Macaca fascicularis: one gene and its partners. The protein of the gene in region 4 purifies or fractionates together with the protein of the main gene of each other region. This does not show direct contact. Links are inferred from orthologs where the notes say so. Each region holds a gene or a part of one and is shown on either strand. Other genes may lie near its edges.

Region 1 (3,514 bases), on a different chromosome or scaffold from region 4:
AGGCTCACTAACTTAAGATCACACAGTAAGGGATCCAGGCAGGACCCAAGCCCAGGTCAGCCTGAAGGCTGTGCCCTCTCTTGCCCCCAAACCATTCTACTCTCTCTGGGACATGAGTGAGTTGAGACTGACAGGGAGTCACCCCTGGGCTAGAGGTGGCCAGGTAACCCCTTCTCACTGACAGAGGCTGCTCCCCACTTCAGGACCCTCCCCCTATCAATTCTGCTGCTGAGAACAAGGAGGAGCCTGGTAAGGGGACTCAATATGCCCATAACATGAGGAAACCCTGCAGTGGCCGAGGAAACCAGTCAGGAAGGGCTCCAGCTTTGGGGGGAACTTCATTCCGGGAAACCAGTCCTGACCACCTACAAAGACCTAAAGAGATAAAGAATGGCACGAGCCCAGCGAAAAGCAGCCAGGCCCTGGGCACAGAGCTACTGGGCTATCTTCTCTGGTGACACTTCCTCAGGCCACAGGGCTGGATGACTCCACCAAACAATGCCTAGGCCCCCAAAGATCCAAGCACTTCGCATTCTACCGGATCTTCTAGCATTTTTGTGAATTAAGCAGAAGGCAAGGCTTGCCCATTCCCTTCCCCCTATCAAAACTGATCCTGTTTCCTTCCTGTGCGATAGGTGCGCATAGACACAGGCAGGCCTGCACAGGTAAGACGCAGACTTCTGCAAAGGAAGTGCATCCATCGCCCCATTCACTGAGTGCCAACGTCACACCCCTCTCAGAGTCATGGCCCCATTTCTTGTTCATGGTAAACGCGTAAGAAAGGCTCTGCTGGCTCAGAGCCTTTGGTTTCCATTGGCAAGGAAACCAAAGTTAAAGAGGCTGGTCCAGGCCCTGCGGCTTGTGCCTGCATGGGAGGAGCAGGTTGTGGCCCAGGGCCTCTGGGACTCTGCACATGTGGTTGGCCCCTGCTCCTCACTGCTCCTCCCAGAGACCTGCCAGGGCCAGAGCTGGAGAGCCTCCTGCAGGGGCTGGAAAGCTAGAGGAGGGTCTCTAATCAAAGGATGATGTCCCTGGGCCCCCTCGGGGACATCACCTGAAAAAGCAGCTCCTTGGTATCGATGTCATACACCAGGCAAGTGTCGTTTTCATCTACCACGGCCAGCTTCTTACGGGAGGCACTCATGTCCAAGCAGCGCACGGCTGTGGCCTGCTTCAGCAGGATGATAGCAAAGAGATTGTCCACGAAGATCTTCAGGATCTGGCAACGTTTCAGTGAAAACAGTGTCAGTCACCATGGCAACAAGATCCTGGCCCACTGCCAGGCCGCTAGAATCCCATGTGCTCTGTAAGAACAACTCCCACCACCTTCACCAGAAGTTCTGTGCAGAGAAAAGGACTCCTCAAAAGAAAGGGGGGGGGTGGTGGGCGCGTTGGCTTATCCTCAGCAGGCCAGAAGCGAGGTTCATCAGAGGCTGCAGACGTAATGACAGCCCCGAGACAGGCCAAGCTCACTTCAGTGTCTGTTCGGACCGGGGATTTGTTGATGACATTACCCAAATGGCAGCGTTAGGAGAGGCCACCTAGCAGAGATCTGAGTCACGAACTAACACAGGAAAAGGCTACTATGAACACTGACAAGACATGTGGTAGAGAATTATAATAATGATGATGACAGCCATCATCTACTGATATCCCTGGTTTAAAAAAAATTTTTTTTAGAGATAAGGTGTTGCTATGTTGCCCAGACTGACTGCAGTGGCTATTCACAGTCTTAATCATATCACACTGCAGCCTTAAACTCCTGGGCTCAAAGTGATCCTCCTGCCTCAGCCTCCTGAGTAGCTGGGACAACAGGTACCCACCACCATGCCTGCTTTAATACCCCTGGTGTTTTTTGTTTGTTTTTTGTTTTTTAACACTGGCTTTAACTCCCAACCTTGATGATATCTGGTTTTGACAGTCCTATGAAATATGTGGTATTATCCTCATGTAAAATCAGCCTCACAGAAGTAAAGTGACCTGCCCAGGATGACAAAGCCAGTGAGTAGCTAAGTAAGAACATGACCTCAGGTTCACCTGACCCCCAAGTCCATCCTCCCACGGGAAGTGAGAGCTGCCTGAGAAAGAAGCGGCCGTTCCTCCCCTTGGCATTGCTGCTTGACTTCACTCACTGCTCTCACGCCCCGTGACTTCCGTCCCCAGCAAAGACCTGACAAGCCTCAGCCATAAGCCATCTGCTGCACAGCTTGGCTGTCAGGCTAATGCAGTTACATTGTCACTTTCAAAGTTCCATGTGGCAGCCCACTTAGAACTTTTCTTATGCTGAGTAAAGAACACACATGTACACACACACACACACACAGAGAAATCTGTTTAACTTTGTGTAACCTGGATATCCCACATCTAACTGGCCAAAGGGCTCATTTTTCTTACGACATCTATCAGTACCCTGAGGACCCAGCATTCTCTAGGACACATGCTGGAATACACTGCCTTAATCCACTCGCTGCCCTAATCGGGAGCTGACCTAGGTAACAATCTCTGCCTCCCTCTAGAAATCCACAGAAGCAGCATCTCTAACAAATCTCCCACCTTCTGGTGACCTTAAGCCACTAATCCACTTTACATGTAGCCAAAGGTTATAGCTCAACTCTGCCAAAACATGGGCCTGCTATGAGTGTGACAGCCACAGCACCTTTGGCCTGAGGCTGTCCTCAAAACCTGAACTCAGGGCTGCCCCACAATTCAACCATGGAGGAGAGAAGCCCTTTTCCTGCCCTGAGAACCCAGCTCAGAGTCATTGCTAGACGGGTCACCCACGTGTGCATGTAGATTATCAGCCTGAGAGGAGACATGCGGGAGTGCTCACCTGTCCATTCTTCAGCCCCACTAACAGGCCTTCCCTTCCAGGAGGGCCGCCGATCACCTTGATGTAACGAATGAGAGACTCCATCTGCCACTCCCGCTCCTTCACTCCGCTGAAGGACAGGCACTGCAGCCGTTTCTCCTAAGAAGCAAACCCAGATCTCATGGAAATTCAACAGAATAAGTGCTCCCAGCCCTCCCCAAGGAGGTCTTCCTGCCCCTAAAGTGTGAAAATACCTACACATTCAGTATCTATCTATCTAACCCAATGTAGACCCCATAATTGGCATCGTTAATCCAAGACTCCGTGCAAGGCTTCCCCACAGAGCCCAATTCAGCCTCAGACTTTCAATGCAAACCTCCATCCAGGCAGCCTAGGCCAGAGGCAGCACTCAGAAGTACACATACTTGCCAGTACACACACTTGCCACACGTATCCTGTAATTTGTGGCAACCCTAAACCGCTTGAAGTTCTAGACTTTGATTATTGATTGATTGATTTTTGAGACAGAGTCTCACTGTCACCCAGACTAGAGTGCAGTGGCGCTATCATAGCTCACTGCAGCCTCCAATTCCTGGCTCAAGCAATCCTCTTGCCTCAGCCTCCCAAGTAGCTGGGACTACAGGCAAGTACCATCACACCCAGCTAATTAAATAATTTTTTTTTTGTAGAGATGGGGTCTCAGTT
Region 2 (4,102 bases), on a different chromosome or scaffold from region 4:
CTCGATGCTCACCTAATTTTTTTTTTTTTTTTTTGAGAGAGAGTCTTGCTCTGTCACCCAGGCTGGAGTGCAGTGGCACAATCTCGGCTCACTGCAAGGTCCGCCTCCTGGGTTTAAGCGATTCTCCTGCCTCAGCCTCCCAAGTAGCTGGGACTACAGGAGTATGCCACCACGCCCAGCTAATTTTTGTATTTTTAATAGAGACACGGTTTCACCATATTGGCCAGGCTGGTTTCGAACTCCTGACCTCATGATCCACCCGCCTTGGCCTCCCAAAGTGCTGGGATTACAGGCGTGAGCCACCGCCCCCGGGGCGATTTTTTATTTTTTATTTTTTTTAAATTTTTACTACAGATGGGGTTTCACAATGCTGGACAGGTTGGTCTCAACCTGACCTCATGATCCACCCACCTCCGCCTCCCAAAGTGCTGGGATTACAAGTGTGAGCCACCGCACCCAGACCAACTTGAGTATTTTCTAAACTGAAATACAAACCTCACAGTTGAAAATGAAAACAAAGTCTTGTTTATTTTCAGGAATGGCTTCCAGATGGTGGGCTCAAACACACCTGGGGTTAAATGCCAGGTCATCTGTACAGTCGCCATGTCAGTTTGCTGTCCTAAGTCAAATATTCATTCACCATCTATCTATCTGCACATACACTTCTACCATGGGTGGTGGTGATTTAAAAACAAACATTTTAAGACCAGGCAAAGTGACTCACGCTTGTAATCCTAGTGCTCATGCAGTGGGAGGCCAAGGCTGAAGGATAGCTTGAGCCTAGAAATTCGAGACCAGCCTGGGAAACATAGCAAAACCTCTGTCTCTACAAAAAATTTAAAAATTAGCCAGTTGTGGTGGCGTGTGGTTAGCTACTCAGGAGGCTGAGGCAGGAGGATCGCTTGAGGCCAGGAATTTGATGCTGCAGTGAGCTATGATCCCACCAGTGCACTTCAGCCTGGGCCACAGAACCAGACCCTGTCTCTAAAAAATAAAAAATAAATTTGGTAACAGCAGAAAGAGGTCCTTTCTCTTTTTTTCAAGACGGAGTCTCACTCTGTCGCCCAGACTAGAGTGTGGTGGCACAATCACAGCTCACTGCAACCTACGCCTCCAGGGGTGAAGCGATTCCCCTGCCTCAGCCTCCCCAGTAGCTGGGATTATTGGCATGCGCCACCATGCCCCGCTAATTTTTGTACGTTTATTACAGAGGGGGTTTCACCATGTTGGCCAGGCTGGTCTCGAACTCCTGACCTCTGGTGATTCGCCCGCTTTGGCTTCCCAAAGTGCTGGGGATTATACGTGCGAGCTACTGCACCCAGCCGAGATCCTTTCTTAAAAGTAAAAGAGCAATGTCTTATTCCAGAAAATTTTTCCTCACCTATAATACAGCCCATTTAATCCTAGACACAACTGAAGCATTATATGGGCACAAAAAGTTTATTAACTTCATTTCCACTCTTTTTAATACAGCAAGGAAGCTCGAGCTTTGCCTAAAGCAGCAACTGCTACAAGAGACCAAAGGCTCAGCTCTGGAACTCCACCAAAAAAAGGGTGGTAGTCACTAGTCCATCGAGATGTCTTACTTAAGGGGAGCGTGTGGGCAATCTTAGTTTTATGGATCTGAAGTAAGAACCAAATACCAGGTATAGTTTCAGAACTGTCACCCCGAAGTGTTATGGGCCCGGAGCGACGAGGGTAGTACTCTCGAGCAGATGATTTCTCAGATGTTGGTAGAGGTTTCTCGGAGGTTGTTTTGTTCTTTTTCTTCCGATGAATCATTATAGCTCAATGACAGCTTCCAATGGAACAAAATCTCTAGGCCTTTCACAACCACAAGCTACTGAGGACATAACCAAGTCACTGAAAGGAAGCAGCAGCCGCTTCAAACTCTGCCCCCCAAATGCTCAACAGAGGCCCATAACTTCTAGCGGTTAATCTCTGCAAATTGTCTACAACCGCCCCAGTGTAGCTAGAAATCCACCTTTCGGAAGTGTCGGTCCTCGGTCACTCGACAATCACACACACGCATACAAAAAGAGGGGGAGGGGCCGCAATACATTTGTAAACCACTGTCAGAGATGGAATTCGTTCCAAGGACTTTTGCGGCACCCTTCCCTTTACTGCATCAGCTACACTCGCTCTGTAGCTCCTCAAATCCCCGCTCAACGCTCTCCCACCCTCACATTCTCAGATGCAGAAGAGTAAGATTTGCCCCAACTGGATCTCAGGCTGCTAAGACCCAGTGTATTCCCGTCCCCGCTCCCTGGATCCGTCCAAGTTCCTCGTGGCTAAGTCCGAGCGGTTTCTCCGTCGGCTGTCTCAGATCTCCCGGAGCGCTACCTCGCGGGTGCCGACCCCGGCCCCTGGCCTAACTCCACCCCGCCCTCTGCGGCCCGCACCCTCCCCAGCATAGCCTGCAGCAGCCCCTTCGGGACACCTTCAGGGCCCGGTCGCGGCCCCTCTTCCCGCCGCCGGCCGGACTCACCCAAGCTGTGGCCTCCTCCCGGCCCTCTTCGCCCAACCAAGGGGCGATGGGCGCTCCCCGCGGCCGGCCTCTACAGATCCCGCTCCCGCCCGCCGCCCGCGGCCCTCGCCTCCCCGCCGCCGCCCCGTCCGGCTCCAGCACCCAGCTCCGGTCGCCCAGATCTGGCACCCGCCCCGCCCCCTACCGCGGGCCTGGCCTCCGCCGGTCCCCGAGCGGTCTCGGGGCCTCAGCCCGCCCCTCCCCCTTCACCTGCTCCATAGCGCAGCGCGGCCCGGAACCCCGTTGAATCGAATCCGTCCGCTCCGCGATCCCAACCGCACGCGCCGCCTTCTGGAACCTACTAGAAGCTGCCGGGACCCCGGCTCCCGCCCCTTCCTCGCCTGCTCACTGGTCGAGTACTTCTAGGGGGCTCTCTGTGCTGTTCTACTACTGGCTTGAGGTCCAGCCCATCATCTCCACTTCCCTCTCATTGGACAGCGGGGAGTGATTCCCTCAACCCTGCCTCCCCCGCACCTCAGGATTGGACGCCGCTCTATAAACCCACCCATCTCAGGCTGCACGAACGGAGGGAGGAGCGGACTTCTGCGACACAGATTGGTCTTTTGCTCTGCCAATCGTAGCCGCGCTGGCCGCGCCCATTGGTTCCGTTCGTTCTGGAAATTTCCACCTCTCCCATTGGGCTGCCGGACTCCAAGTCGGAACCGCCTTCAGAATGAGAGCGATTCCAATTGGGCGGAGGGTTGCCAACCCTCTGCGCTGATTGGTTTAAATCGCTGCCTTTCAAAAGGCTGGGTTTCGCCCCGCCCGTGGCATATGGCAGTCTCGGCCGTAGTCCGGTACTGTAGCCGTGTCTCCGGCGGCTGCGGTGCCTGTGGGTTACTTTCCATCTGGATCCCTAGTGCCGCGAGTTCCAGGCGGTCCCCGGGATCGCCAGCGGCACAGGGCCCCAGCCTTTCGCCCACGCATCGAGATGGAGGTCCTAGCCGGTCGCGCTGCGTGGTCCTCGACCGCCAGTTGCGCGCGTTGTTCAGCGCTGCGGCCTCGGCCTGGCCCTCCTGCATTCTGGCTGTTAGGTTCCAGAAATGCCACGTGACCGCGAGGGCGCTTGGGCTTGGGCTGGACAGGCAGGGGATCTCATCGCGGCGGGTGCGGCTGTTCTGCTGGGCGTCCTCAGTGGAACCGCACACCCTCTCTGAGTCGTTTGGTCCTGTAGGGCCGAGGGGAATTCGTGCGGTGTTTAGCACGCGGAAAGTACTTAGCGAAAGGGAGCTGTCCCCCAGCCCTCGTGAGTCCGATGTAAAGGAGTGAAAGAGACGAAGAGCTGAATCAGGTAGTTAACCGCCTATGAGCTGGCTAACTGTGGCCTGGTAGAGCCTTAAATCCCAGCCCCAGAAGTCAGAGTCAGGGCAGGCACCCCAAAGCGTGGAAGAGATGCACCTGCGGAGTGAAAATGCTGCTATTGCTTCTAGAGTCAGCTGTGGTTCCTGGAACAAAGGAGCCGCATGACTCGGGTCTGGCAATGGTCTTGGGCTCTGCAGTGTCCTCATCCTTCCCCCTCTCTGGGTAATGCCATCTTCCCAGGGTTTAAAGTGTGTCCTCTCTGCCAATAGCTTG
Region 3 (4,026 bases), on a different chromosome or scaffold from region 4:
TCAGGTCGAGATAGCTGAGAATATTCTGGGCAAGCTTCACAGCCTGTTTCCTGGCAGCCTTACACTTCTCTTCTCCCTGCGGATCAACAGCATCCAGGGCTAGCAGCTGCTTGGTGAGCAGCTCTTCCAGCCGGATGTAGTTCTTATCGGTTCGATTTCCATCAAATGAAAGAACTTCTCCTTGGATCTCGGACAAGTTTCCAAGGACGTTCCAGACGGCTTTATGGGATGGGTGCTCCTCACAAGCAAACAGCTTTCTTTTCTCAAGGGCCTCCTTCAAGTCAATATACGTGATCAGAGTTTGCACCTCGATCACTGCTCTTCTCCTGGCTTCCCGGATGCAGGGGTTTTTTTCAAGACTTACCTCATCCAACTGTCCAATTAAACCCTGCAATTCTGTTTTGGAGCTCAGGTACAATTCAGGAGGGTTTTGTGCTTGGAGAAGTTCATTTTTTATTTCTCTCATTCTCGTGAGGACCTTTTCTATTTTTAAAATGGAATGATTCTGTCTCAGGTCAAATGCTTTAGTCGTGTCTGCTTCCTCTTCCAAATCCAGATACTTCAATAATTTGTTGATATCTTCTACTACCTCCCTCCGATAATTTCTGATTTCTGTCCGGCCGCACACATCTAGAGCATCTAGGTCAGCGATCAGCCCTGAGAGCACACAGGATAAGTGCCTGCAGGTCTCACTGTTGTTCACGCCCATCAGAAGTGCAATCAGGACCCCTCGGGCCTTGTTCACCTCACACATCACAAAGTTGATTTTGGCCACGGAAGGATGTGCATCCTCGGAAAGCGGCAGGGAAGGCTGCTTTTTCATGCAGTCTTCGATAATCTCTTGCACCGCACAGATTTTGGTTAAAGTGTGATACCTTGCTTTCCGCAAGGAGATTTTTCCTCCAGTTTTAACATGTGTCAGCCTCAGAATGATATCCTGGATGCCTTCTTCAAACTCGTCAGTTACGCAGTTGCCTCCATTATAAAATGGCACAATTTTCTCTCTAACGAGGGACTGGGCTTCCTCAAAAATGTTCTGTATTTCAATCCGGTGTGGGTGGTTTGCATTCTGCTCCAACTCTTTGAGAAGACGTTCTGTCTCCTGTGCTGCCCTCTTCCTAGCTTGCTGAATATCTCCTTTTCCTTCAGTATCTACAGAGTCTATTTCAAAAAGTTGTTTTGTTAGAATCCTCTCCAGTTTCTTGTAATTCTTGTCATCTGACAGACCACTGAAGCCGACAACTTGCTGTTCTACACTTTTTACTTCCTTTTGGATTTCCTGAAGCCTACTAATAGAAGGATGTTGGTTTCCCATATCCATACTTTTGTTGTGTTCAGTTTCACAAGCACTAAAAGATGACAAGAATAACTTATTACAGCACAAGGCTTCTGCAGAACACTAATGGTATACTAAGTCATTCTAAAATTCTCATTTTAAAAAGGCATACTTTCGAGCAGTCATCCCACCTCAGCCTCCCCAGTAGCTGGGACTACAGGCGTACACCACCACGCCCAGCTAATGTTATTATTTTTAGTAGAGACAAGTCTCACTATATTGCCCAGGCTAGTCTCAGACGATCCGCCCGCCCCCGCCTCTCAAAGTGCTGGGATTAAGGTGTGAGTCACCGTACGCCGCACAAACTATTTGGAACCGGCAGGGCACCTTTATGCAAGGTGAAACAGTAGCTCTTGTAACCTTCCGAACACTAACAGTACCCCGCCCCGCCACACAGCTATGCCTAGTTTCCAGAAACTCTAAGCAAAATAAACTGAACCAGTAGAACAAAAACCAGTGGCTCTCAGATATCCCCAAGTTCCCGCTTCTTCCCTTTGTGCACTTCCCCTCCCCACCCTTTTAGCTCCTCACACATCTTCCCTCCCAGATGTCTCCCCGAAGAGATAAAAACCCCACAGGTAAAGAAGAGGGACGGGGATTGCGCTGAAGGGCACCACCTTGGGCTTTCGAGGCCCAGCACCTCCTCAGCCCCCAACATGCTCCACTGTCTCAAAAAACTACAACCTGCGAAAATGTGGTAACTGAATAATTCATTCACTCGCCTCCCACTGAGAGTCCACAATCGCCTAATGCACGTTTCAAGCTCTTGGTTTCTATCAAACGGCTCGCTCAAGGTGGGTAACCAATGGAAACGCATCATCCATCCCCTGTGGATGTTCTGGAGGCCACGGAGGGCAGGCGGCCCGAGTTCCTTCCTCCCCGCCTCGCCCTTCCCTCTTGGCTCTTTACCCAGAAGAGGTCTGAGCTGGCTGCGATCTTGGCGTCCCGTGGCTGAGGTGGCGAGGTGGAAGATCAGCCCTTTACGGGGTGCGGCACCGGAGCTGGGCCCCCAGCTGCATCCCTCGCGCCCCTCCCGACTAGGTCTGAGCGGGGCAGCCGGTGAAGGGGCCGGCGGTGAAGGGGCTGCTACTGGCTGCAGCAGCCGCTCCGGGCGTCTCGGCCTAGGTGCCAGGGCGCGCCCGCAGGCCCTGACCTCACAATGGGCGCGCGAGGGGCCCTCGGCCCGGCCGGGGGAAGCCGGGGAAGGAGGGGAGCCAAGGCCCCGCCGGAGACACCAGAGACCAGGCCCGACCACCCCTGGACAGCGTCCGAGCCAGGGACGGGGACGGCGCCGAGACCAACTCTGCTCGGCCTGTGCCGACAGGCCGCGCTGGGGTGGGCGCTGGCAGAAAGGTGGTCCAGCGGGGAGCCCCGCGCGGACGGGGGGCCCCACTCGTCCCCCCGACGGAGGGAAAAGGCCACACGCCGCGCTTCGCTCACCTGTCCCGCCCGCGCCATCGCGCGATGCGTCGCCGACGCTTCCACGACTTCCGCAGCTCCGGCCGTCGCCCGGGCCAGCCAGCCCACGCCCCTGGCCGAACACCCCTAAACCCGGGGACACCTCCTCCGGCGTCCGCGCCTAGCCGCCGACAGCGCCAAGCCCACCGCCAGCGGCGCAGCAAGGCAACTTGGAGTGACAGCGACCAAGGAGCGGCCGCCCGGGTCAGCCCGCGCCGCCCGCCGCTCCCGTAGGCCGTCGTACCGCGGGGAAAGCGCACGGTCGGCCGCACCGCCGCCCTCCCTCGGGCTTCGCGACCCTGCCGTAAAGCGGCCTCTCGCGCCGTCGCAATGCTGCCGTGCGCCGCGGGAGCCAGGGGGCGTGGGGCCATGGTGGCCTTGCGGGCGGGGAAGAAGAGTCTTCTCCGCGCTCTCAGCCGCTCCTTCGTCTGCCGCGGCTGTCAACTCGCTCCGGAGCGCGGCGCCGAGCGCAGGGATACGGCGCCCAGCGGCGTAAGCAAGCGCCTGGGGATATTGGGCCGGGAGGGGTGACCGGAAGGAAAGACAAACCGGGGCCTCGGGGCAGCTGCCTGCCATGCACAGCCGCCTCAGGCCTTTCTGCAGGTGCGCTCGCGTCCGATCCCGAACAGTCCCGCAGCCCCAAGGCTTCCGCGTCAGGGCTCTCGGTCGGATGGGACTGAGGGTGCCGCCGCCACGCCGGAGACTGTTGACAGCCAGAACCTTTAAGCATAAGAGTCTTATTTGTTCCCGAGAATGATTATTTTTTATATTTAAAGAGCTCTTGGCTTAGCGTGCATTTTTTTTTCGTGGTCTGTGTGTGTGTGTGTGTGTGTGTGTGTGTGTGTGTGTGTGTGTGTGTTTTGGCTTTGTTAAAATTATTAGAGCTTTTATTCAAGCGGTGAACACTTTATACTTTATCATCGTACTTTTGTAGCACTTCACGTTCAATAGTTGTTCTTATTTGCAAACTATGTGTGGGTATATGCATGTTACTGGCCAAAGATCCGCAAAGAATGTCTGTAGCAAGAAAGAGTGGCAAGCAATTTTTCTAAGTCATACTTTTGGGAGGGATGTTTTGTTTAAAGGAGGCCTAGGCCTTGATTCCATCTGTCAGATGAAAATGTTGGCTAACGGTGTGGAATGGGCTGGAGATAAAATATTCAAGCAAAGCATGCAAATACCAAACAGGCTAATGAAGGAGGCTGGAAAACTTGGTTTAAACAATAATTAAA
Region 4 (3,514 bases):
ATTTGTCTTCAAGGATAAACTACCTTTACCACACCATGTTAGTGCCCAATGAAAACATGGACATAGCAGGCTGCTTCCTGCCCTCCTTTGTTCCAGAGGCCACCTAGAGGGATCAGAAATCACTCTGATTTTTAACTGCTAGAATTCTGCAAGGGCAAGGAGTCTACTTTTTGTTTCTCATGTTGTGGAGGGCCACAAAAGCACTCAGGCCATTTTCAACCGTGCATGGTGACCATCAGTTACACTGGAGAAAAACAACAAGCTTGCCTCATACTCTTCCTCCAAATCACTCCTAAAAAATAAATGATCACTTGCATAAGCAAAACAACAACAAAAAAGCAACAGTAGCTGCTTAAGATTATCCCACAGCCCCTAGCCATTCTCTTACTGGAGGAAAGGGACCTTAAAGAACAGGTGAGAATATCCTTGCAAATTGTCCAACTGCCCTCAAATTCCATGGAGATGACAAAAGCTTGCCTCTTGGAAGGGAGTTCCCAACAAGCTATTAACCATAACAACTTTTCCTCTTTCATCTTGCTCACCTTCATTGGGCAGATTTCCCAAGACCCTTTGATGTCCCTTAAAAATATATCTATAGGCCCCAAGATGTAGATCAAGAGCTTACCTTGGAATTAACCGTACCCCGATTACAGTAGAGTTTAGCATTTGTTTTTATATTGTTGGGGTCTATCCCCAGGGCTTCTGTGTACAGTTCATATGCTAGTTTGTAATTTCCTTCCTTAAATGCTTTATTCCCATCTTCTTTCTTTGCTTTGAGTGCTTTGGCATTCTACAGAAAAAAGCACGGGGAAGATCGGTTCATATCCACAAAGCCTCAGACCACTGCACAGAGAAGCCAGAGTCTATTTTCAAGTTCTTGGCTTATGGTAGTTTAGCATCACAGAGCCCCGCCAACCCCCAATCTGGGCTATCTGTTGCTCATTTGAGCTTTCTACAGACTGGACAGGAGAAACCAAGAGTCACCAAAAAGACCTATGTTACTGGGTCTGCCTCCACTTCCCAGGGCAAGTATTACTATCTATCTTCACTGAGGGGAAAAACAAAACAAAACCTTCTTAGATATTAAAGGCATCTGACCCTATATGATCAAATTTACCTTTAGGTAGATAAAAGTAGTCCTAAAACCATTTCTAATAAAGACCAAGCATGCTTGCAAAGCAGGAGGAAAGGCTATGACATTCCCTGTGATTCTAAAACCTTCCCCTCTAGCCATCTTAAAGGTCCCAAAAGGAAGCTTTCTTTCCCAGTTAGGTCTGGTGACTAGAACTTACTCTGCAGGCAATGCAGGCTTTCTCATGGTCAGGAGCCATCCTGAGAGCCTGTACGAAAAACTGAACTGCCTTCTCAATACAATCTTCATAATAAAGGCAAAGACCTCGTACATATAGAGCATCTGCATTGGTAGAATCCATTCGTAGAATGTCACTGCAATAGTCAGAAAAGGGCACATTGAGCTGTGCTTTAGAATGTCCCCACCATTACTACCATTTGTGGCCAGTTTTTTTTCCTTGACCATGTGTCTGGCATTCAGAATATCCAAAGGTAGACAGATTCCCAAGAACTGTTCCCAAACTTTCCCCAAATAAACCACCTATAATTATCTTTAAAACACATCTTGTGTCTTACAATCCTCATTAAACTAGAACAGGGTTTGGCAAACTACAGCCCACAGGGCCAAATCCTTTCTGCCACTGGTTTTTGTAAATAAAACTCTATTGAAACAGCCACATCTATTGGTTCATCTATTATCTAGGACAGCCTTTGCACTGCAATGGCAGAGTTGAGTTAGTTGCAACAGAGACACTGTGGCCTGCAAAGGCTAAAATCTGGCCCTTTGCAGAAAGTTTGCTAACCAGTGGAGTAGAAGGAAAAGACTACCTTAAACAAACAAACAAAAACTACAAAAAACTCACGTAACACAATCTGTTCTTTCGTAGATAGTACCTGCTATACTATTATACTCCTGTATACCCTATGGGTTTTCAAAGCTGGTCTAATCTTTGACTTTAAGTCTTAAGAGGGTCTCATCAGCCCTAGCTGGCCTGCTCTGGGGACCATATCCTGTGGTGAAGCTGCCGGACACCATCAGACCAATGGTATCCGGCATTTTAATGCCCAACTGGCCTGACTGCATACCTAGCCACAGACTGTGCTTCTGGATAACGACCCAGCATTGCTAAACATTCTGCCTTGAGGATTTTGAAGCGATGGCAGGCAGGGGCAAATTCTAGGGCACGGTCCATGCAGAAAACAACCTGTGGGGAAGAAAACAAATAAGGCTCTTCATCAGGGACTCCAGAAACATCTTCAGTTTAGTCACAGGAAACAGACTCAAAGCTCAAAGAAGTCTTTGGGTCCACTGTTAAGTAATATCAAAGTTTAAAAACATACCTAATTCACTAAATAAACGCACTGAAATGAGGAGAGCAAAGATTCCAGAGGATAATGATGGTGAACATTTATTGGGTGACTTTGTATATGAACCCATTTAATCCTCACAACAACAATTTGTGAAATAGGCAATATTATAACTTTTTTTTTTGAGACACAGTCTCGCTCTGTTGCCCAGGCTGGAGTGCAGTGGCACGATCTCGGCTCACTGCAATCTCCGCTTCCCGGGTTCACACCATTCTCCTGCCTCAGCCTCCTGAGCAGCTGGGACTACAGGCGCCCGCCACCGTGCCGAGCTGATTTTTTTTTTGTATTTTTAGTAAAGACAGGGTTTCACCATGTTAACCAGGATGGTCTTGATCTCCTGACCTTGTGATCTGCCCTCCTCGGCCTCCCAAAGTGCTGGGATTACAGGCATGAGCCATCACACCCAGCCTTAAAATAGTTATTTTAAATGGCTCTAAACAGGCTATATCAGATTACTATTCCCAGCATGCCACTATACAAACCACAAGCCAAGTAGCTCTCACACACACAAAAAGGTGGGGATTAATTTACTCTTTCAGCCTCATAAAGCATCTTTTTACTAGTTTGTCCTCTGAGCTTTCAGTTTTGGTTTAGTTGCTATTTATTCCTGGGAGAGCCTTGCTGAATCACACTCACTCCAAGAATAAATGAACCAAAGGAGAAATGTGGAGTTAAAGGACACCTATTCCCTCTAAGAATCTGGCCATGGGGATCAAGAAGAGATAAACTCTGAAAACTTACAAGCAGAAAAATTCAAATTCCATCAACAGGAGACTGGTTAGATAATGTGGACATTCATATAATGGAATACTATGTAGTTCTAAAATAAAATAAAGAAGCTCTTCATGTACTAATATGGAAAGAGTTCCAAGACCTATTCAGTAATTTTTTTTTAAAGGTGCAGAACTGCCAAAAAGCATACATCTTTCATGCAAGGTAAAGGTAGAAAATCCAGGATCTTTATTTTATATATGTACAACAAAACTACAGAAGCAAATAGAAGACATAAGAACAGTGGTTAGCTTAGGGGAGTGAGAACTGGGCAAAGAGAGGACAAGTTTGAGGGGACACTAAT
Region 5 (4,218 bases), on a different chromosome or scaffold from region 4:
TACCAGTCAAAAGCAAAGGGACACAGAGGGATCAAGTCCAGCTGCTGGTCTGCCTCTACCCCTGGACAGGGACTGGAGGAGGAGGATGTGGGCCCATCCCGGGAGGGCTGCCGGACCCAGTGGGGCAGACTGGAATGCCTTTTCCTGCTGTTCCCACCACCTGATGCCCTATCGCTCGAAAAACCACTTTAGTCTAGTGTACGACTTTGAAAGATTGTAATATATGCTCTGGAAAACATTCAGCAGTATGAAAGTCCTCCCTGGGCCCTCCCATGGTCCACAATTGGTAGAAAGGTCCAGAAATCCTTGAGCTCTGGAAAGGTCCCTGGTCAGTCGGAGCTCTGGCAGCTATATTGGAAGGACCTGCTCAAGTACGGTTCTTGATGTCTGGGGAATCCTTTCGGGGAAGATCACTTCAAATTCAATAATGAGGTCCCCACGTTTCTCGGGCGTTTTGGGGAGGGGGAGGCCTTCTCCAGGAACTTTTCGGCGCATGCCAGGCCTGATGACATCTTTGAATACGACGGGTATGGTCCTGCCGTCCAGAGTGGGGACGTTCACTGTGCAGCCACACAGAGCCTTGAAAAGCAAAGGGATAAGCATTAGATGGAAGCTGGCTCAAGAGGCTCAGCTCTTGCCCGGAGACCATCTGGCATAGAGTAAGACTCATCAGGCCTCTGCAGCCAACACCTGGCCCCCAAATCGACATGTCTCCACCATGAAAGCTCCAGAACAGCACCCTGATCAGTCCTGTTCACTGTGGTGCCCCAAGCCTGGCAAGCGCCACACACCCAATGCGTGTTCAGCAAAACCTAAATAAACTGCTTCAAAGAGCAGCCATCGCGCTCTGCAGACACCGCCCCACCTGGCACCTTACCTCCCGGAGGCTGATCCTGGCAGGATAAATCACATCAGAGCCATCTCTCTTAAAGATATTGTGTGGCTTGTCCTTTAAAACAAAGACGATATCAGCTGGAATGTTGTTGGAGGTCTGGTCTCCTTCCTTGGGGAAGGTGATTTTGGTCCCTTCTTTCCACCCCTTCTTCACTTCGATGGTCAAGATTTTGTCTTCGTTTCGAATGCTCTTTCCGTCGGGGTTTAGCCGCTTGTGGGAGATTTTCATCTTCTTGGTACAACCGCTGTAGATCTCTTCAAGGGAGACTCGAAGGTCGTGGGTGACTGGGGGATCTTGCTTCTTTCGGGTGGGCTCTTGGGAAGGGCGGGAGCGGCCAAAGTTCACGTTGGTGAAGCCACCCATGCCCATAGGGAAGCCAGAGAACGGGTCATCAATGTCCATGCCTTCCTCCCCGTTCCGCTGCCCAAAAAAGGTGTCAAAGGGATTTCTGCCACCGAAGAACTCAGCAAACATGGCATGAGGGTCTCCATGGAACGTGTAGCTGAAAGAGGTACCATTGGCACCACTGCCGCTACCGCCACTGGGGCCACTGCCCTTTAGGCCTGAAAAGCAGAATTAGAAGCAGTCAGATGGCTGAACAGCAGACTCCCTCTCGAGCTTCCCTTACGGGGGAAAAAAGCTTGGAGGCCATGGGGGAGGAACTTTTTTTAGCCTGCCAGGGGAGAGCAAGGAAGAACCCCAAGCTTCTACCCCTCACTGCAGCAGCAGAGCTGCCCCCCCCCCCAAGTACTTCCGCATAGCCTGACAATGGAAAAGGACTCATGCGGTTAGGTGTCCACCTACAGGTGCCACCTGGGCCCTGCCACTCCTGGACTGACCCATCCTCCTGGCAATGTCACCAAGGGATGGCTAAACACACACGGTCCAGGGTCGGCTTTCGGTATTTACTTTCAACATTTTAGGACTACTGATGTGTACGAAAAGTGAAAATAAGGAAAAAAAAAAGATGTAGAGTTTTTAAACCCTCACACTAGCATTCACTGCCACCATCCTTGCATAATAAGTCAGTCCCAGATCAAGCCCAGAAGCCAGCCTGAGTCATCAAGGGGCACAGGGACAAAAAGCCCCACTCTCCGTCCCCCCAAACCCCCAGGCGGCCCAGCTCTCCGCACCTAGGCGGCCGCTGCCTCCTGCGTGCTCGGCCGGGACCAGGTCATCACTTCCCGGAAATCATCCCAGCCCAGCCCCAAGGCCCGCGAGCGGGATCGGCGCCTGCATTTACAGCCCCGCGCCCCGCAGCTGAGCCGCAGGCGCCGCCCTGCGGACCCCGGCGGCTAAGCCCAGGTGAGCTCGGGTCCGCAGCAGGCTCCGCCGTGCCGTTCCCGTCGTCACCCCCGGCTCCCCCACCCCCCTGCACCGCACCCCGGGGCTGCTCGGGGCCGCGGGAAGAGGCGCCCGGGGAGGGGCAGCCCTAGACATGCTAGAAGCTTCTGGGCGAGCGGCTGGGCCAAGGCTCCTCCCCGCACCGCACGGCCGCCAATCCAAGGGCGGAGGCCCGAGCGGCCGGAGGGCGGGGCAGCTCGGCCCCCGGGCCCGGGGCGTCCTTCCCGGGGGGCCGCCGAGAGGGGCCGGTATGCCTCGGTTTCCCTGTCAAACGGCGGGACCGCGCCCCTGGCCGCGCGCACACACCTTCCTCTCCGTAGCGGTCGAAGATCTCGCGCTTGCGCGGGTCGCTGAGCACGTCGTAGGCCTCGGCGATCTCCTTGAACTTCTCCTCGGCGCCGGGCTCCTTGTTCTTGTCCGGGTGGTAGCGCAGCGCCTGGCGGCGGTAGGCCCGCTTGATCTCCTCATCCGACGCGCCGCGGGCCAGGCCCAGCGTCTGATAGTAGTCTTTGCCCATGGCCCCCCGCTGCGGCCCGCCGACCCGCTGTCGCCGTCCCCCGGCTACGCCGCCGCCCGGTCCCGGACTCTATATACCCGTCCGGCGGAAGCTTCCAGAGCCCGCCAGCCCCCTCCAGAACCTTCCGCCCCGCCCCCCCGCCCGCGGCGCCGGCCAATCGCCGCCACCCTTTCCGTGACACGCGACATCCGGGGCGGCGCTTTGCCGTCAACGGCCGCCGGCGCGGGGCCACGCCCCCTCCCGCTCCGCCCTCGACAACGCCTCCCGGCGGCGCGCGCACAGGTCGGAGGAGGCCCCGCCCACCTTCCGGGACGAGCCAATCGCGAGCTTCTTTCACACTCTGCACCGCCCCAGCGACCCTGCGTCCCGCCCTCCGCCTGGGTCAGTGGGTCAGGAGCCGTCGCGAAGGTGATGTTCCGGGAAGGGGTGGGGCCTGGGACTAGCCTGTCTTTTCCCCAGGAGGTGATAAACCTTCCAGCCCTTGTCTCGCGGGACCTGCGGTGGGCCTCCGCCGGGTGACGCCGGACGAACAACCTAACCCGCGTCTGCTTAACCCAGGGGTCTCTTTCTTTCTACAATATGGCAATAAGAGAACCTGACACGGAGCCTCACGACTGTAATTTCCATCACTTCCTGAGGCCAAGACAGGAGAATCTCTCGGGCCTAGGAGTTTGAGACCAGCCTAGGCAACATAAGCAGACTCCGTTTCTTTTTAAAATAAACAAACAGGCCGGGCGCGGGGGCTCACGCCTGTAATCCCAGCATTTTGGGAGGCCGAAGTGGGCGGATCACTTGAGGTCAGGAGTTCGAGACCAGCCTAGCCAACATGGTGAAATCCCGTCTCTGCTAAAAATACAAAAATTACCCGGGCGTGGTGGCACGCACCTGTAATCCCAGCTACTCAGGAGGCTGAGGCCTGAGAATAGCTTGAATCGGGGAGGCGGAGGTTGCAGTGGGCCGAGATCGGGGCACTGCACTCCAGCTTGGGCGACAGAGCGAGACTCCGTCTCAAAATAAAATAAATAAATAAGTAAAATAAAACAAAATGAACAAACAAAGAATCCACCAGCGCTATTTTCCCAACTGTGGGGAGAAGGATGTTGGGACAGAAGACTGCCTCTGTTCTCCCTTCCTAAAGCGAGGTGAGGATCTGGGCGAAAGCTCACCTCCCGAGGTCCTCTCAGTCCCGCCTTTTTCACTTTACTGCCCTTTCAAGAGCACTTGCTGCTAAATTAGAAATTTATTTTGTTTCTTGGCTTTCAATGTGTCCTCCCTCCCAGTCTGAGATCGCCACCTGAGCAGGGGCCAGGTCCTGTCTGCATTGGGTCTCCAGTGCCTGGAATGCAGTGAGAACCTCATAAATATTCCCCGTTCTTTTTTTTTTTTTTTTTTTTTTTTTGAGACGGAGTCTCGCTCTGTAGCCCAGGCTGGAGTGCAGTGGCCGGATCTCAGCTCACTGCAA
Region 6 (4,128 bases), on a different chromosome or scaffold from region 4:
TGACAATACGAAAAACAAACTCTTCTAACAACAGGGGTTAATCTTAGAAAGGTTGAAAGAAAAAAGCCAAACACAAGTGATTCCAATTTTTTTGAGGTTCAAAACCAGGTAAAACTTATCTGTGTTGACAGAAGTCAGATTACCAGTCACCTCTTTTAGGAATGGGGAGTACGTCCCCCTACCCTAGATGGAGTCTCACTTTGTCGCCCAGGCTGGAGCCCAGTGGCGTGATCTTGGCTCACTGCAACCTTCCCCTCCCGGATTGAAGCAATTCTCCTGCCTCAGTCTCCCGAGTAGCTGGGATTACAGGCGCATGCCACCACGCCCAGCTAATTTTTTGTATTTTTAGTAGAGACATGGTTTCGCCATGTTGGCCAGGCTGGTCTCGAACTCCTGACCTCATGATCTGCCCGCTTTGGCCTTCCAAAGTGCTGGGAATGCAGGCATGAGCCACTGCGCCCAGCCCGGAGTACTTACTAAAAGTAAAACAGGTGAACCTTTTGGGGTGCTGGAAACATTCTATTTTTTTATTGGACAGTAGTTGCACAGGTGTAAAACATTTTAAAATTGAGCTGTTGGCCGGGCGCGGTGGCTCACGCCTGTAATCCCAGCACTTTGGGAGGTTGAGGTAGGCGGATCATGAGGTCAGGAGATCGACACCATCCTGGCTAACACAGTGAAACCCCGTCTCTACTAAAAATACAAAAAATTAGCAGGGCGTAGTGGCGGGCGCCTATAGTCCCAGCTATACTCAGGAGGCTGAGGCAGGAGAATGGCGTGAACCCGGGAGATGGAGCTTGCAGTGAGCCGAGATGGCGCCACTGCACTCCAGTCTATGCGACAGAGCGAGACTCTGTCTCAAAAAAAAAAAAAACTCAGCTGTTATACTTGGGATTTGTGCTCATCAAAAAAAAAAAAGAAAATGAAAATACTAAGCCACTCAACTAACCTTGGAAACAGGAAAAAGCAGCAGCCAGGAGTATTATTTCTTGGTGTTAAGTCTAGACTGACTTAATAAAAGAGTAATAAAAGAGGCTGTGGACTATACCTAAAAATTATCAATAACTATCACTGTCAGATTAAGTCTTCCCTTATCTCCTAAAAATCATTTGGTCTCTGATTCTTCTGAGCTTGCACAGATCCTCAAGCCTAACAGAATTTCTTGGCATATGTTACTAATAAATGTAATAAGTGAATTAATGAATACGTGATCTTTGAAGTTAAGAGTTCTTTTGCATCAGACCAATCTCATGTTAAAAGAAACTAAAACGATTAATAAAGAAGTTTCCAATTTTACTGCCATTCTCAATGTATCTACTCAACACTCTGAGGATGCTGTGGGAAATGTCATCTTTCCTCATGATCTGAACCTGCTTTTTTTTTTTTTTTAATCTTTTTTTCCTCAACCCCCACCAGCCAGCCACACTTCCTGATGGCCTTCAAACCCTTCCACTGCCCAAAAAGGAGAATGAGAATGTAATATTTTCCAGGCTTATACAGAATTTTGACAACATAAATTAGCACATTCATAATGCTTGAAAATTGACTAAATAGAACAATTCTGACATGAACAATGAAATCGTCTTTCTGTCAAGGCAACTTTAAGTAATCCCATTCTAATATACCGTCACCTGGGAACAAACTATTTTTAAAAATAATGCAGGTCGGGCGTAGTGGCTCACGCCTATAATCCCAGCACTTTGGGAGACCGAGGCAGGCGGATCACCTGAGGTCAGGAGTTCGAGACCAGCCTGGCCAACATGGTGAAACCCCGTCTCTACTAGAAATACAAAAATTAGCCAGGCGTGGTGGTGCGCACATGTAATCCCAGCTCTTAGGGAGGCTACGGCAGGAGAACTGCCTGAGCCCCAGAGGTGGAGGTTGCAGAGAGCCGAGATCACGCGGCTGCACTCCAGTCTGGGCGACAGAGCAAGACGCCATCTCAAAAAAAAAGAAAATAATGTAAAATAAGCCTCCCTTGTTTCAGGGTAGTTCAAAATACATCAGTAGAAAAGTTTCGTTTTTATAGCACAAAGTCAAGGCGTAGGATACAACAGATTACCGTCTAAACAAGTTGAAAACTGTTTCCAGTTCATGACAGCTACATAGCTTACCTGTTCCAGCACATCCAACTTTAACTCGAGCTTGCTAAGTACGACGTCTCCACCCCATAGCGAAAGCTGTAGATCCGACGGCTTTAAGTTCTTGATGTAGCGATTCACATAGCTCATTAAAATCGGAGTTACGTATGACTCCAGCATCTTTTAAGGTAAGGAGTCAAAGTCGGAAGCTGAAAGGAGTAGACAGAAACGTTGTAAGTCGGCCGTATAGTGAAGGAAAGAGCGTTAGTTATCTCAGGCCAAAAGCAGTAAGTCCCCACCAAGGCGGCCGTTCGCCTCCTCTTAGAAGCAGAGAAAACTCAAGAGGACTCCCAGCTCCAGCTGCGACTTCCTCACAAGTACAACACCCCTTGCCAAGCGAAGTAAGGGAGGAAGATGTAGTGACCAGAAGAGAGCGGGTCCCTCAGAGTGGAAGAATGAAGTGAGGCGGACTCCCCTTCGGCCGCAGTAGCCCTTCACCAACCCAGTCACTCCGCGAGGCCCTCGCTTCCCGGAACCCAGCCGGATCTGCCACCATAGAACGAAAGCTAGAAGGCCCCCCCTCCCGCTCCCGCTCCCGCTCCCCAGCACTCCACTCTCCGCTCACACGCCAGAGTATCGCCGCGTCCCCTCCACCTCCAGGTCCCTGGCACCCACCCCCGGCGGCAGCGCTGCTCCTGTACCGCGCCACTTCCGGGTGTGCCCTACTTGGTGTTCAAAACAAAGTGTCCCTCCACGGCCGCCACTCTACGCAGCCGGACCGGATTTCTCAGGCTGGAGAAGCTACTTTGCGCGTCTTCGTGGAGAAGAACTGTTGCGTTCGGCTAGCCAGGGTCCCAGCTGCGACCCTGCTAGTTAGTATAAAGATCTAGGAGGTGTCTGAGCGGGTGGAGGGAACCGTAAAGGGGAAACACCCGAGATCCGGAAGTAGTGCTCCGGGGAGAGGGTGGCTGCGGGTCCTGGGGCCGCTGCGCGGTCGGCGGTTCCCGAGGTGGAGGTCCGTCCTGGGTGGGGAGGCACGGAGGGTCGCTGGTTGCGGAGGAAGAAACCACACCTAGCACTTAAAGCCCTGAAAAAAACAGGTGGTTGTCTTTCTTGAGAAATGGGAGGACTGGGAAGAGGAACTAGGTTGGGTTCACTGGGGAGGGCAGAAGCAATAGGCCGCTGGTAGGAGGAGCGAAGTAAGTGACAGATTTCAACTGAGTTCCGAGGTTTATTTGCTGGAAGGAGGGTGGATGTGGGAAGATAAATGAAGGGATTAGGACGTACACTGTTGGAGGACGCGTTTTGGCCAAACGTATAGACAAGCTCTCGCATTGTTACTTTCACAAAGCAATGGTGAAGTACTCCCTAGTTTGCTGATGAGGGGCGGGGGAGGGATGGTCAAAATATTGCGGGGAACCATAGGATTGCAGTCTGACGTGAGATTTAGGGAAGCTGCGGCAATAACCAAAATGAAGACGGAATTGAGAGTTCTAGAGACAAAGTGAATATAACTGATAAGTAATGAATTCAGAGTTGTAAGGGTCGGTGTTGGTTTTATTAGGCTGTAATGAGTGTATAAAATATTGCCTTTCCGTATAATAGCTTGCAAGCTAACAAAGTCAAGAAACTCAAACATTAACTCGGAAAATATATACTGGGCTTAAAGGAATCGCATAGGACATGCTGCCCAAGTTTTGCCCAGCTTGTCTTATTTTTGGTTAGCGCTGAAAAAACCCCTACCACTGCATTTTGAAACTAGACTCCTGGTCAGGCGCGGTGATGCACACCTGTAATCCCAGCACTTTGGGAGGCCAAGGCCTCCAAATTGCTTGAGACCAGTCTGGCCAACATGGAAAAAACCCGTCTCTACAAAAATATTAGTAATACAAAAATAAGCTGAGCATGGTGCCTGTACTGTAGTCCCTGCTACTAAGGAGGCGGAGGTGGGAGGATCACTTGAGCCCCAGAGGTGGAAGCTGCAGTGAGCCGTGATTACACCACTGCACTCCAGCCTGGGCGACAGAGTGAGACTGTCGAAAAACAA
Region 7 (4,193 bases), on a different chromosome or scaffold from region 4:
TGATCTACGGCCGTAAGGTCAGCACAGGGTTGGGGTTGAGCCTTGGGGCTCGGTGACCAAAACAGGCAAGGGTGACGCTGCTGCTCCTGCCCCCAGCGCTGGTTCCTCTACCCACCTGAGAAGACACCAGAGTTCCACCCCAACAAGACCACGCTGGCCTGGCTCCGGGACACATATCCAGCCCTGCCACCGTCTGCACGGCCCCTGGAGTGTACCATCCGGGCTGGTGAGGTCAGTGGCTGGCAGGAGAGGGCCAGGCCAGGCCAGAGGCCCCCAGCTAATCTGTGCTGCACCCCTTTTCTCCACCAGGTGCTGTACTTCCCTGACCGCTGGTGGCATGCCACACTCAACCTTGACACCAGCGTCTTCATCTCCACCTTCCTCGGCTAGCCAAAGCAGCTGGCAGGCATGCCTGCCACACACCAGCACGTCCCATCTCGTGCTCATGGATTTTATTACACAGACAGTGTCGGCAGTGGCTTCAGCCCAGCCCACCCTCACCTGCTTTTCCAGCCCACAAAGGGGGACAATCATGGCCCAGCAAGAGCTATGCTGAGAGGGGGAATAGTCCAGAGCCCAACAGCAGAACTTGAACTTGGAAGGGGCCAGGGTGGCCAGCAACACAAACTATGTACAGGGGTGGAGGGCTTCCGCCCAGGGCTCTCCTGGACCAGGATGCTGGGCAGGGCAAGGCATCTCAGTAGTCCTCCACCCAGCCATTCTCAGAGATGAATGCGTCAATGACTTCCTTCATGGCCAGGTTGGGGATGAGCTGTTCCTGGGTCAGGGGGCTCCGGGTCACGGGGTCAAAATGACCCACGCGCTGCAGTGACAAGAAGGGCAGAGGGCAGTCAGTGGGCCCAGGACCATGCTGCTGGCCCTGCTCCCCCAGCCGCAGCCTCACCTGCAGGTGCTCCTCGATGTCCTTGCGGTCGTAGGTGATGCCACTGGGCGTGATGCACGGCTCCCGCATCAGCTCAAAGCTGATCTTACCACACAGGTAGTCGGGGATGTCACGCTTCTGTGGCACAGGGGCACACGATCAGAGGCTGGGAAGGGGCACTGCTCCAGCACCTGCCACCCACCGCAGCAAGTGACAGACACTCACCTTCCTCTTCTCGTCCACCTGAGAGAAGAGCTCGTCCATGTCTGCCATGTACTTGTCCTGTGAAGAGTTGAGCACTGCACTTGTGCGGGACACCCCACCTCCCTCCTCCATGGGGCACAGACCCAACACAAGGCGGGGATGCTCCCACGCCAGGTGCACACACACAGACCCACATGTGGGAGGGGGGCACCCTCACATGCTTAGCCTCAATGCAGGCCTGCTGGGCCCGGACGTGGCTGTCGTCCTCATCACCCTCGTGGTTCCGCTGGCACTCTTCCAGCTCCCTGGGGGTTGACCAGGAGCCAGTAAGAGATGGACCTGGCCAGATGTCTGACCACACCCCAACCTCAGGGCTAACATTCATGCTTCTTCCCCACGTTTTCTGCTCGCCAGTAAAACCTTCAATAAACGCTCATGTTGGTAGTTGGTGATTCAGAATTACCCCAAGACAGGGCGACCTGGGGTGAGGGTCCCACCTCTCACGCTCCGCGGCAATGAGCCTGGAGAGGTAGGAGTGCAGCTCGCTCTCCTGGTGGATGCGCCGCTCCTCGATGCTATTCCAGCGCTTCTTCTTCGCGATTCGAAGAGCGCTGGGGATGTCGTCCCCGAAGTTCAGCCGCTGCTCCTTGGCCAGGCTGTAAGCTGGGGAACGGGGGCTTCAGGTCACTCTCTGGCCAGTCCACCCGCCTGGCCCCAGGGGCCCCACAACCGGGCAGCTTGTCAGCCAACCTCGCTGCAGATTGGCGATGGCCTCATCATAGCTCTCCATCTCCAGCTGGCACTGCCCCAGGAAGAAGTGCGCCTTCACAGACTGCCCGTCCAGTTCCAGGGCGCGCCGGCAGTCGGCCAGGGCCTGCTCGTGCTGCTGCATCTTCAGGTAGCACAGGGCACGGTTGGTGTAATATACGGCCACCAGCGGGTTCCGGGTCTAGGGACCAAGGCCGGGCCAGCCGCATGAGGGTGTAGGCTCAGCGCGCCCCCTCTGTCCCACGGCCCGTCCCAGCTTCTGCGCTCTGGCTAGAATCAAGAAACTAGGCTTCTCAGTCGTCAAAGCCCCTGGATCCAAGGATCTGCAGACAGTGGAGTACTGGCTGAGCCTATCCGCTTGACTCCACTTGGTTTTGTAAAGTTTTCCAAATCTTTGGAGAGTCCAGGCTTTGGACCTGGGAGCCTCAAGGGGCGAGGGCCCCTGCCCTCCCCCCGACCCGGCCGGCCTCCATCCAGCATCCCACCCTCGTTCTCCGACACCCGGCGCTGGGCTCGGGAACCACGGCTGGGCTTTAGGAGCCCAGGACATGCCCCGCAGAGGAACCAGACCCTCGGTGGGGCCAGCCGGGCACGGGCCCGGCCCTCCCCGGCGCCGCCGCCGCCGCCGCCGCCGCCGCCGCCGCCCTTCCCGCGCGAGCGCACTCACGATCGCGCGGCCGTAGCAGGCCGCCGCCTCCGGGTACTTTCGGCCCACGAACAGACGGTTGCCCTGCTCCTTGAGCTCCTGCGCACTCGGGCTCTTCTCGGGGCTTCCGCCGCCAGCGCCCAGCCGCGCGCCGCCCTCCTTCTCCTCCTTGCCCTTCATGGCGCCGCGCGGCACGGCCTGGGCTGCGCTCCCAAGCTCCGCGCCTGGCGGCCCAGCGCCTGCAGCCCGAGCCCCGCAGCCCGAACCCGCGATCCTCTCGGGCCCGGCCCAGCTCCACCGCCGGAACTTCCGGCCGGGGGCGGGACCAGCGGGGACGCACGGGTGGGGGCGAGTGGGGCCGCGCGTGCGCCCAATCAGCCTGGACGGGGACGCTAGGCCCGCGGCGTCGGGGGCTGGGAGGAACACTCCGGTTCCCTCGCTCGGCGCTCTTAAGGGTCGGCGTTCGCGGAGGCCCTGGCCCGCCCTGCTGAGGCCTCTTCGGAACCGGCCTCGGCGGCGACCGCCACACACATTCGACTTTCCCAGTGAGATGCCTTGGTTCGCTGAGGGCGCACTCCCCCAACAGCCTGTCCCGACCACCTGGCGTTCCGCCCCCGCCGCAACGCGCAGAGACCCCTCCCCAAGCAGCGGGCCCCATCCAGAGGCCCTTCCCCCGGCAGCCAGCCCCGCCCCCAGCAGCCCGCCCCATCGGCAGACGCCCCGCCCCCAACAGGCCGCCCCACCCAGAGGCCCCGCCCCCAGCAGCCAGCCCCTACGCAGAAGCCCCGCCCCCAGCAGCCGGCCCCGCCCCCGGCAGCCGGCCCCGCCCCTCCGCGTGAACATAGTGGCTTCCCGCGCTGTTGGGTGTAAGGACCGCAGTCGCTGGGCCGCCATTCCGGAGCGCCATCGAGAGGTCCTACGGGTGCGCGCGGACCCCCGAGTGCGGCTGGAAGCCCTGGGCCGTTGGTAGAGTGGAAGGGGATAAAGGGATCGGTGGGCGAGCGTACCCTGTGGCCGGACCTCCCCTCACCGCCCTTCCCCAGGTATCGGGAGGAGTTGCCAGCGGCCATCAGGGGCAGAGCGGAGAGCATGTGACAGGGAGCTGGAGCGGCTGCTGGCCTGGAAGCTGGCGGCGAGGTGCGGCCCGCCTCGAGGGCGGGGCCTCCGTAGGGCGGGTCTTCATCGGGGCGTGGCATCGGCGGGGCGGGGCCTCCAGAGCGGGTCTTCGTGGGGGCGGGGCCTCCCTGTGGGTCCACCACGCCGGGCACCCTGACCTGGCTTCTCACAGCATCTGGTGACCACCAATCCCCCTGAGCTGGCTGTGCACTGTTCGACCACCACCTTCTGCCTCCTGCCAGATGTGGGGGCCGCGGTCACCCAGCTGTCTGCCCTCTGCGGTGTGGACCCACCACAGTCACAGCCTCAGGTGAGTTGGGTGGGCACGACTTGGGTACATAAGCGTCCTTGTCTGTGAAGCAGACAGTCTGGGCCCTTGTGTGTCTCTAGGACCAGGAGTCGGAGCCAGAGCTTGTCCTGATGGGGTGTCTGGCTGCTTCTCCTCGCTGCTCACAGCAGTCCTGGTGCCTGGAGCTCGAGATGGAGGCCTTCATGTCAGATGAGGCAGTGGTCACAGTGCCCGGCCTGCCGGCCCCACAGTACACCCTCAGGTACTACCTGCTGTACCTGGGCCAG

What was found.
Region 1: the proteins of DNAJC7 (region 4) and IFT122 purify together in Homo sapiens (co-immunoprecipitation; 3 studies listed by BioGRID and IntAct, counting the BioPlex papers as one, with this or other methods). This does not show direct contact. The link is inferred for Macaca fascicularis from reciprocal best matches to the Homo sapiens genes DNAJC7 and IFT122.
Region 2: the proteins of DNAJC7 (region 4) and STIP1 purify together in Homo sapiens (affinity purification with mass spectrometry; 4 studies listed by BioGRID and IntAct, with this or other methods). This does not show direct contact. The link is inferred for Macaca fascicularis from reciprocal best matches to the Homo sapiens genes DNAJC7 and STIP1.
Region 3: the proteins of DNAJC7 (region 4) and BAG5 purify together in Homo sapiens (affinity purification with mass spectrometry; 4 studies listed by BioGRID and IntAct, with this or other methods). This does not show direct contact. The link is inferred for Macaca fascicularis from reciprocal best matches to the Homo sapiens genes DNAJC7 and BAG5.
Region 5: the proteins of DNAJC7 (region 4) and DNAJB1 purify together in Homo sapiens (affinity purification with mass spectrometry; 3 studies listed by BioGRID and IntAct, with this or other methods). This does not show direct contact. The link is inferred for Macaca fascicularis from reciprocal best matches to the Homo sapiens genes DNAJC7 and DNAJB1.
Region 6: the proteins of DNAJC7 (region 4) and VPS13B purify together in Homo sapiens (co-immunoprecipitation; 3 studies listed by BioGRID and IntAct, counting the BioPlex papers as one, with this or other methods). This does not show direct contact. The link is inferred for Macaca fascicularis from reciprocal best matches to the Homo sapiens genes DNAJC7 and VPS13B.
Region 7: the proteins of DNAJC7 (region 4) and STUB1 purify together in Homo sapiens (affinity purification with mass spectrometry; 3 studies listed by BioGRID and IntAct, with this or other methods). This does not show direct contact. The link is inferred for Macaca fascicularis from reciprocal best matches to the Homo sapiens genes DNAJC7 and STUB1.

Annotation. Positions count from the first base shown.
Region 1 is NC_088376.1:153,914,054-153,917,567, forward strand, and holds part of IFT122 (intraflagellar transport protein 122 homolog), read right to left. Parts: intron 2,969-3,514; coding exon 2,831-2,968; intron 1,220-2,830; coding exon 1,055-1,219; intron 1-1,054. UniProt on the Homo sapiens protein: As a component of the IFT complex A (IFT-A), a complex required for retrograde ciliary transport and entry into cilia of G protein-coupled receptors (GPCRs), it is required in ciliogenesis and ciliary protein trafficking.
Region 2 is NC_088388.1:10,210,736-10,214,837, forward strand, and holds the start of STIP1 (stress-induced-phosphoprotein 1), read right to left. Parts: upstream 2,805-4,102; 5' UTR 2,747-2,804; coding exon 2,738-2,746; intron 2,604-2,737; exon of another isoform or gene 2,489-2,603; intron 1,844-2,488; exon of another isoform or gene 1,644-1,843; intron 1-1,643. UniProt on the Homo sapiens protein: Acts as a co-chaperone for HSP90AA1. Mediates the association of the molecular chaperones HSPA8/HSC70 and HSP90.
Region 3 is NC_088381.1:171,733,441-171,737,466, forward strand, and holds the start of BAG5 (BAG family molecular chaperone regulator 5), read right to left. Parts: upstream 2,814-4,026; 5' UTR 2,157-2,813; coding exon 2,059-2,156; intron 1,350-2,058; coding exon 1-1,349. Other genes in the region: COA8 (cytochrome c oxidase assembly factor 8), read left to right, coding at 3,164-3,286. UniProt on the Homo sapiens protein: Co-chaperone for HSP/HSP70 proteins. It functions as a nucleotide-exchange factor promoting the release of ADP from HSP70, thereby activating HSP70-mediated protein refolding.
Region 4 is NC_088390.1:63,034,848-63,038,361, forward strand, and holds part of DNAJC7 (dnaJ homolog subfamily C member 7), read right to left. Parts: intron 2,277-3,514; coding exon 2,158-2,276; intron 1,447-2,157; coding exon 1,293-1,446; intron 791-1,292; coding exon 626-790; intron 1-625. UniProt on the Homo sapiens protein: Acts as a co-chaperone regulating the molecular chaperones HSP70 and HSP90 in folding of steroid receptors, such as the glucocorticoid receptor and the progesterone receptor.
Region 5 is NC_088393.1:14,953,360-14,957,577, forward strand, and holds the start of DNAJB1 (dnaJ homolog subfamily B member 1), read right to left. Parts: upstream 2,803-4,218; 5' UTR 2,757-2,802; coding exon 2,546-2,756; exon of another isoform or gene 2,029-2,545; intron 1,459-2,028; coding exon 878-1,458; intron 580-877; coding exon 349-579; 3' UTR 1-348. UniProt on the Homo sapiens protein: Interacts with HSP70 and can stimulate its ATPase activity. Stimulates the association between HSC70 and HIP. Negatively regulates heat shock-induced HSF1 transcriptional activity during the attenuation and recovery phase period of the heat shock response.
Region 6 is NC_088382.1:108,641,000-108,645,127, reverse strand, and holds the start of VPS13B (intermembrane lipid transfer protein VPS13B), read right to left. Parts: upstream 2,801-4,128; 5' UTR 2,757-2,800; exon of another isoform or gene 2,381-2,756; intron 2,291-2,380; 5' UTR 2,262-2,290; coding exon 2,115-2,261; intron 1-2,114. UniProt on the Homo sapiens protein: Mediates the transfer of lipids between membranes at organelle contact sites. Binds phosphatidylinositol 3-phosphate. Functions as a tethering factor in the slow endocytic recycling pathway, to assist traffic between early and recycling endosomes.
Region 7 is NC_088394.1:1,434,359-1,438,551, reverse strand, and holds STUB1 (E3 ubiquitin-protein ligase CHIP), read right to left. Parts: upstream 2,804-4,193; 5' UTR 2,682-2,803; coding exon 2,523-2,681; intron 2,179-2,522; exon of another isoform or gene 2,037-2,178; coding exon 1,838-2,036; intron 1,751-1,837; coding exon 1,585-1,750; intron 1,532-1,584; exon of another isoform or gene 1,393-1,531; coding exon 1,305-1,392; exon of another isoform or gene 1,166-1,304; coding exon 1,109-1,165; exon of another isoform or gene 1,022-1,108; coding exon 698-1,021; 3' UTR 438-697; downstream 1-437. UniProt on the Homo sapiens protein: E3 ubiquitin-protein ligase which targets misfolded chaperone substrates towards proteasomal degradation.